2 linked regions of the Schizosaccharomyces pombe genome follow. Each later gene encodes a partner of the first gene's protein in a complex. Each region holds a gene or a part of one and is shown in the gene's direction. Other genes may lie near its edges.

Evidence for each region.
Region 2: usp101 (region 1) and frg1 share a complex: the UniProt entries of both Schizosaccharomyces pombe proteins name them as parts of the spliceosome.

Annotation. Positions count from the first base shown.
Region 1 is NC_003424.3:2,460,317-2,463,771, reverse strand, and holds usp101 (U1 snRNP-associated protein Usp101), read left to right. Parts: upstream 1-1,589; 5' UTR 1,590-1,637; coding exon 1,638-2,423; 3' UTR 2,424-2,621; downstream 2,622-3,455. Other genes in the region: mRNA-decapping complex catalytic subunit Dcp2, read left to right, coding at 1-1,046; pth2 (aminoacyl-tRNA hydrolase), read left to right, coding at 2,815-3,432. UniProt on the Schizosaccharomyces pombe protein: Involved in nuclear mRNA splicing. Essential for growth.
Region 2 is NC_003423.3:2,021,712-2,025,816, forward strand, and holds frg1 (FRG1 family mRNA-processing protein), read left to right. Parts: upstream 1-2,137; 5' UTR 2,138-2,237; coding exon 2,238-2,275; exon of another isoform or gene 2,276-2,347; coding exon 2,348-2,467; exon of another isoform or gene 2,468-2,527; coding exon 2,528-2,986; intron 2,987-3,057; coding exon 3,058-3,178; 3' UTR 3,179-3,476; downstream 3,477-4,105. Other genes in the region: origin recognition complex subunit Orc4, read left to right, coding at 3,832-4,105. UniProt on the Schizosaccharomyces pombe protein: May have a role in processing of pre-rRNA or in the assembly of rRNA into ribosomal subunits. May be involved in pre-mRNA splicing.

The DNA of each region.
Region 1 (3,455 bases):
ATTTATTTGCCGCTAGCGACATGCCTTCTCCAATGGAATTGCCCTCGCCAAGTACTGTTTATCATCAAGTTTTTTATCCTCCCACTTCGACTTCCGTTAGTTCCTATGGTTTAGGCAAAACTCCGCAACCAGCATACGGATCTTCTTCTCCCTATGTAAATGGTCATCAGACTCAACAAATTTCTTCTCTTCCTCCTTTTCAATCTCAGACTCAGTTTTTAGCTCGAAATTCCGATAACTCAGGTCAATCATATAATTCGGAAGGAGACTCAAATTCAAAAAGGTTATTAAGTATGCTCTCTCAGCAGGATACGACACCCTCATCTTCTACGTTAAGCAAAGAGGCAAATGTTCAATTAGCGAATCTTTTTTTGACGCCTAATTCATTAGAGACAAAGAAATTTTCTGACAATAGTCAAGGAGAGGAAATATCAGATAATTTGCATGGTGAAAGTTGTAATAATCCTAACGCCAATTCTGTACACTCCGCACAATTACTTCAAGCTCTCTTACATCCATCCGCAACCGAAACAAAAGAGGAAACACCGAAAAAGACATCTGATTCGTTAAGTTTACTTACACTTCTTAAATCTGGATTGCCTACTCCTGCAAACGATTTGCAAAATAAATCACAGAATAACGAACGCAAAGCTTCCAGTCAGGTAAAGGAGTTGGAGGTCAAAAACTACAGCAAAAGCACTGATTTGTTAAAGAAGACACTTCGTATTCCCAGAAATGATGAGCCACTAGAAGCCGCTAATCAGTTTGATTTACTAAAAGTATCTCCGCAACAAAAGTCTGAGGTTCCTCCTAAACGAAACGAATTATCGCAATCAAAATTGAAAAATAGAAAGAAGAAGGAGAATTCGGAAACCAACAAAAACCATGTTGATATGAGTCCTGGTTTCGTTAAGATTTTAAAACGTTCGCCTTTGGCAGATCAAAAAAAGGAAGATACCCAGGAATCCGATTTCAAAGGGTCTGATGATCATTTTCTGTCATATTTACAATCTGTCGTGTCTTCTAACTCCAATGGTCTTCATTAATTTGTTATTCTAATTGGCATTGCATTAGAAACTAATGAACGACTGTGTAATACACATATGGTATTCTCTTCTAAAGTTATTCCTTTAATGTTTATTTTTCGTTTTACATTCAAATTGTTAATGAATATCAAGACTACTGACTTTAAATGAGACTTAGATGTTAATGTTGAACACTGAGTTAATCTAGTGGCTCTTTTCATTTTTTTCTATCACTTTTTGTTGAGAATAACGGTCTACTCAATGTTCTGTTGTTGTCGTTTTAATCATGCATGAATTCAACGTTGAAATAAGGATTTCCCTAACTTTTATTAGCTGGTGAGGCTTTTCGTCCTTTAAAATTATGAGGTTTCCTTTTGATGCAGCCCATGCGTGTACTAGGTTTATTCATAGGGTAAATACATATTTGCTTCCCTTTTATGTCAAATAAATATGACTATATAATTTGCTTACATATTTTAATAATAAGCGAAAAAATTGTACTGTACGCCCCCACATAGCACTTATTATACAGGCAATATCGCTTTACTGGGATATACCCTACACAGCATTGCACCCACACACTTCTAAATAAAAAAAAACAATTCATATAGAATGGCTGAAAAATTACCGGCTCCTCTACTTGCATTGTTTGCTCCACGTCCCCCATTGAGGTATCTGCCTCCTATGGATGTGCCTCCTGAGAAACGTTCAACACCTCGCGTTTCAGGCATAGCAAAATATCTGAAATATGCGCAGTCTCACGATCAACAATATCACCCGACTGAAAGCTTGGAAGAAAAGCGTTTGCGTCTTAGAGACGAGAAACAAAAACAGCAACGAGAAAGATTACGGTCCATGATTAAGGTATGGGATCCTGATCACGATCGCCATGTCATTGGAGATCCATATAAAACTATGTTTCTTTCTCGGTTAAGCTATGATACCAAGGAAAGCGATATTGAACGAGAATTTACTCGATATGGGCCTATCGAGCGCATACGAGTTGTTCGTAATAAAGTTACAGGAAAATCAATGGGATATGCATTTGTTGTGTTTGAAAGGGAACGAGATTTAAAAGTTGCTTACAAAGCATCAGCTGGTTTGATGCTAAATGGAAGGCGGATAGTGGTCGATGTCGAAAGAGGTAGAACTGTAAAAGGATGGCTACCGCGTAAGTTAGGTGGTGGACTTGGCGGGCGACATTATACAAAAGAAAGGCCGCGACGGGAACGGGGATCCCGATTTCGTGGCGACTCTGGATTTCGTGGTGGCTATCGAGGAGGATTTCGAAAATCTTCTGGAGGAGGGTCAAGATTTGGTCGTGGTCCTACTCGCTCCTCTCACTCTTCAGACTATGGAGGAAGAGATAGTTCCCCTAAGCGTCGTCGCTACAATTGATGTTAGAAAGTCTCACTTCAATGTTAACGCTAAACATAATTTTTTGTATACTCTTGATTACTCATTCTTTCTTCGAGTTATCATGTTAAAATGGAGAAGCGCATAGAAGATTGGAGACGCCTAAATTTAAATAAGTACCATGAGTTGGCTTCTGGTCAGTCAAACTTTTCAAACACATATATGAGATATCCTTCTTCGTTCTTTTAATGAAATTTAATATTAATTTCTCTGAATGCATCATTATTAATTTTGTGAAACAAATTAATAGTTTTGAGAGGAGTATGTTGCGCTTCACTACATCAATTTAATGATGTTGCCGGTATATATTATGTTTCTTAGCTCTTAAGTTTCGCACACATAATTATTTTGACATTATAATTTCATAGTAGTTATGAAAGTACCTTTCGTAAATTTCATGATCTCCTCCTTTCCTGCAGCAGTACTTGTCGGCGCTGTAGTGGGGTTTATGATCGGACGCAAATACAGTGTAGCAGATGCATCAAGAGGTTATAGTTCCAAAAATGCCAACAAAGCATCTAACCCAGAAAAAGAAAGTCCTGTTTCTGTTAGCAATGATGAAGACAGCGAGTCCGAAACTGAACTTTTAGATATGCTGAAAGGAAACAGCAGTTTGGCTGCGCTTGCATTGGCGGAAGGACAAACTAAAATGGTATTGGTCGTTAGGACGGATTTAGGCATGACCAAAGGAAAAATAGCAGCTCAATGTGCGCATGCAGCCTTAGCCTGCTACAAAATCGCATCTGCGGTGGACCCCGATTTGGTACGTATATGGGAAAATGCTGGACAGGCTAAAATTACTCTTCAAGCTCAAACCGAAGAGACGTTGGAATTACTGCAAGCCCAAGCAATGTCTCTAGGGCTATGTGCCAGGGTTATACACGATGCTGGTCGCACCCAGATTGCATCTGGTTCTGCTACAGTCTTGGGCATTGGTCCTGGGCCTGTCAGCGTAATCAATGAGGTTACAGGATCTTTAAAATTATTCTGAGAAATCTAAAAAATGTACCAAAA
Region 2 (4,105 bases), on another chromosome or scaffold:
CGGGCTCTGAGTGGTGGAAACCATGAGAGCAAAAGCGTACTCTAAAGTTTAATGCAAAGTAGACAGATTTTGATTGGTTTATGATAGGAAAGTCGGAGCGAATTGGAGGAAAGGAAGGTCAAAGTGAGCTGTTGCAATCTGCACGGGTGTACGCTTGCGTCCAGTAAAATTCGTAAAAGGGGTTTAATGAGAAGGCTGCTAATTCAACAAAGGCAAACTGACTGGTAGCGGGGATCTTTCCTTTGTGCTCTCTTTTGGATGGATATCGCTGTATATTTTAAATATATCTAACAATATTATTTTAAGGATTTCTAGACAGTACCGCATGGAGCTGGCCACATGCAATTATTAGGTCGTACTTAGAGTAATAGTAATAGTAAAATCAGGGCAGCATGTTATGTTACATCAATGTTTACAAGATCGCAGAAGTTGTAATAACTAAGTCAATTTTTTTCTATTTCTTTAGTCTTTTTCTTTCATTTGTTGTTTCGCACAATTAAAATTGCGCTCTAATATTGACCTATTTTTACCCATCCTTCTATGGATTGAGATAAACCATATTAGAATGGTCGGGTTCCTGACCAGCTTTGCGATCAGTATGGAATTGTATTGTCTAGCGATGGCGATTGTGTGACAATCAACAATTAATTTAATTATTCAATTCTGAGCAAATTTAGCACTCAGCCCATTTGGACTTTAATGAATCATTACTTTCACCAATTGGACTCCAATGCGTGCCACCTAATTTCATTGCAAAGAAATGGCCATATCGGAATAATGAATGCATATGCTAAATTAAAAAAAAAATTAAATAATAATTTGCGAGCTTATGCTCAAGAAGAACATTAATTGCTGAATTTGTGGTTTAAAACATTGTTTGGCAACTAAAAGTTAACAGATAAATATTTATATTTATATTTATTCACTGAGCATATTAATGGAAAGCTATTGAATTATATTGCTGAAATTCCTTATATGTATATTCTTAATATTATTTATTTATTTATTTAAATTTTATTTTTATGTGGTTGAGGCTTATCATATTATTTATCAAGTCCATACATCCGTTCAATTGTTACCAATGTTTGCTTAATTGTGTCCAAAACGAAATTGTAGATTTTCCATATTTACTAGATATTCACGTGGCCTCAATTTATATATCAAAACCAATAATGAAAAATTGCGCACTTGCATTAATAATTAAACCATTGTTTTTATTTGCCATCAGCAATAATTTTTTGATTAAAAATTTTTTAAGAAAAAAAAAAAAAAAAAAAAAAAAAGAAATTTATTCACCGTGATTAAGAAACTAACATATTACGCATATGGTTAGTATATTAGATAAAAATAAATTCTTATATTTATTATTTATTTTTTAAAAATATTTATTTTATTACAAACATTAAAATTTTCATGTTTCAGCATTTGGTTTAGATGAATGTAAAAGTCGTTAAAAAATAACCTTATTAACTAACGAGTTAGTTTTTTTTTTTTTTTTTTTTTTTTTTTTGAATGTTTTGGAATTTCCAAGTTCATTTGTACAACAATAATCAAGTTAATAGATTAAATAACAAAATTAATACTATTGTTTTTTTATCACTCAAATATTTTCATCCACTTTTGTGCTGTTTTTAATATGCAGGTATTATGGCTACACTTATTCACATAGTAATAAGTAAATTGAAACAGTGCTCATCTTTTGTAAGCTTTCAACTGAATAAGCAAAAAAAAATTCTTATTGTCATCAATGGACTTCCTTTTTTGGAATATGACTCGTCCTTCAACGAATGTTTTTGGTATTGAACAATGCTAGTCTTCGGTGCATACTTCTTCTCTCATCTATATTCAAAATTATCATTCAATTAAGCACATTTTTTTTCTTTCTCAAGCCATTAGAATGTTATGCAAATCATCCATTTTACAAACCAACATTAGCATGGGTCACAAAAGTCACATTGTGAGCAACAGAACATTTCTATTCATATAAAGCATTTCCTTGCTTATTAAAAACGTTTGAACCTCTTTTGTTTTGCTAAGAGTACCTTGCCTATTCCTCAGAACATATTGGATTTCAGCACGAAGAAGCATCTGGTCTGTTCAAATCCTTAACACTACTCCCACTACTTGCTTTTTCCTCGAAAACCACGCATAAATATTTAGTCATTATCCATTATTAACAATTATCATTTTTAAGGATTTTTAATCGTTTAAATTCTTGGTAATTTACTGATGGTAAAATGTCTATGCGATTAACTTTCAAGGGAGACAAAAAGATGTAAGATAAAATGAAATAACTGCTCGAATGTGGTAATTCATATTATATTGTTCATCACTAACAAGAAATCAGTCAAAAGAAGAAAAAAAAGAACACAAAATCACTTCAATCTTCTCTAGAATCAGCTGAAAACGATCCTTTTTGGACGGACGCAAACGAGCTAAATGAGCTTGAGGGTCCAGCGGTTATATAGTAAGCTTAACTTCAATATTCTTATACCTTTTTTTCTAATTTACTTACAACTTTATGTAGTAAAATAGACGATGATGCTGGTGTATCTCTTGGAATTGAAGAAGTTAAAGAAAGTTGCGTTCTTCTTCCCCTCGACAAAGTTTCGCTAGAGCCAGAATTGACGCGCCAGGTGTTTTTGTTATCCATACTGAACAATACTATACTATTGAAAAGCTGTTTAGGTAAATACATGTCATGTAGTAAGTCTGGAGACTTGTATTGTACGCAAGAGGCGGTAGGATCACAGGAACAATGGATAGCGGAGAATCTGGGCTCAGGATTTTGGGCTTGGAAAAGTGTATCAACGAAAAAATATTTAACATTAAGTAGAGAAAAACAAGATCAGGCCATTGCATGTGTCTCTGACACTGTCATTCCTGAAGCCAAATGGAGAATTCGAGTACAAACTCGTTTCCTAAAGAAAAACAAGTCTTCTTTATTTGACAACCCAACCATACATTCCAGACAATTAGAATCTATGTAAGTTATGCTATTCTATTTTATTGGGGTTTCCCTTCTACTTTCGTCATTCTAACTTTGTAATTTTACAGGGCTGGAAGAAAACTTTCTACCGATGAAAAAAAGACCCTCAAAAAAGCGTTTAAGGAAGGAGTTCTTCATGAAGCATTACTAGATTTACGAGTATCTTCAAGGAGCGACAAATATGGTTAATTTTTCGGATATTCTTGATAAACCATTAATATCTTGACTTACTGATTAATGTACGATTACCTGCTGGACCAAAGCTAGCAAAAACAGATTTGATTTTTTCTCTTGAATTTTAGGCACCTTGTATAGCTATTGAGACTCCTTTCAGCTATTCACTACTTTTATGTATGAATTTACAAAGCTTTATGGTAATTACTCATTTCAAAAGTGAAGTGTTTTACTTCATTCCTTAATTTTAACGAACTATTTTTTTTTAATAAAAAATGAATATTTAATGAATCTGTTGAAATTCATTCCCTTCATACATGTATGGTTTTACAAATAAATGCAACAAGTAAATAATTATAGTCATCAGCATCGCTTGAAAAAGATTAAAATAGTTTTAGATTATTACTACTATTACCTAGTCATTATTTCAGCTTCAAAAATATATTTCTATACTGGCCCTGTCCTTAAGGCTGTACGCCAATCTTACTGCTCACCTTTACCAAGAATCGAAGTAACACCCTGCATCTGTCAAGTCAAGAGGAAATTGAAAAAAATAATTAGAAAAGAGACCAATTAATTGCATTTGTTAATAAAAAGGCTAAATTTAGAGGATCATTATTTTTACAGTGTATAAAAACCATAGGGATGTGCATCTTCAAGTTTTTAATATGAGCTCATCCCCATTCACAAATCTTGGGAATTTGGACACAGAAGCAATCTATGAAAATAAGGAAAATGAATACCAGACAAACATAACTAATGAGACCTCAAATGTTCAAAATTTATCAAGTGGTAATGATGATCAGCAGTATCCCAATTCTACGAATGATGATGCAAATAATGGATTAACTGCCTCTCAAGCAAAATTGCAAGATATTGCCGCTGTCACTTTATTTCAGGATAATAATATTTCAACTACGACTTTAGCTCCGCCTTCACCTT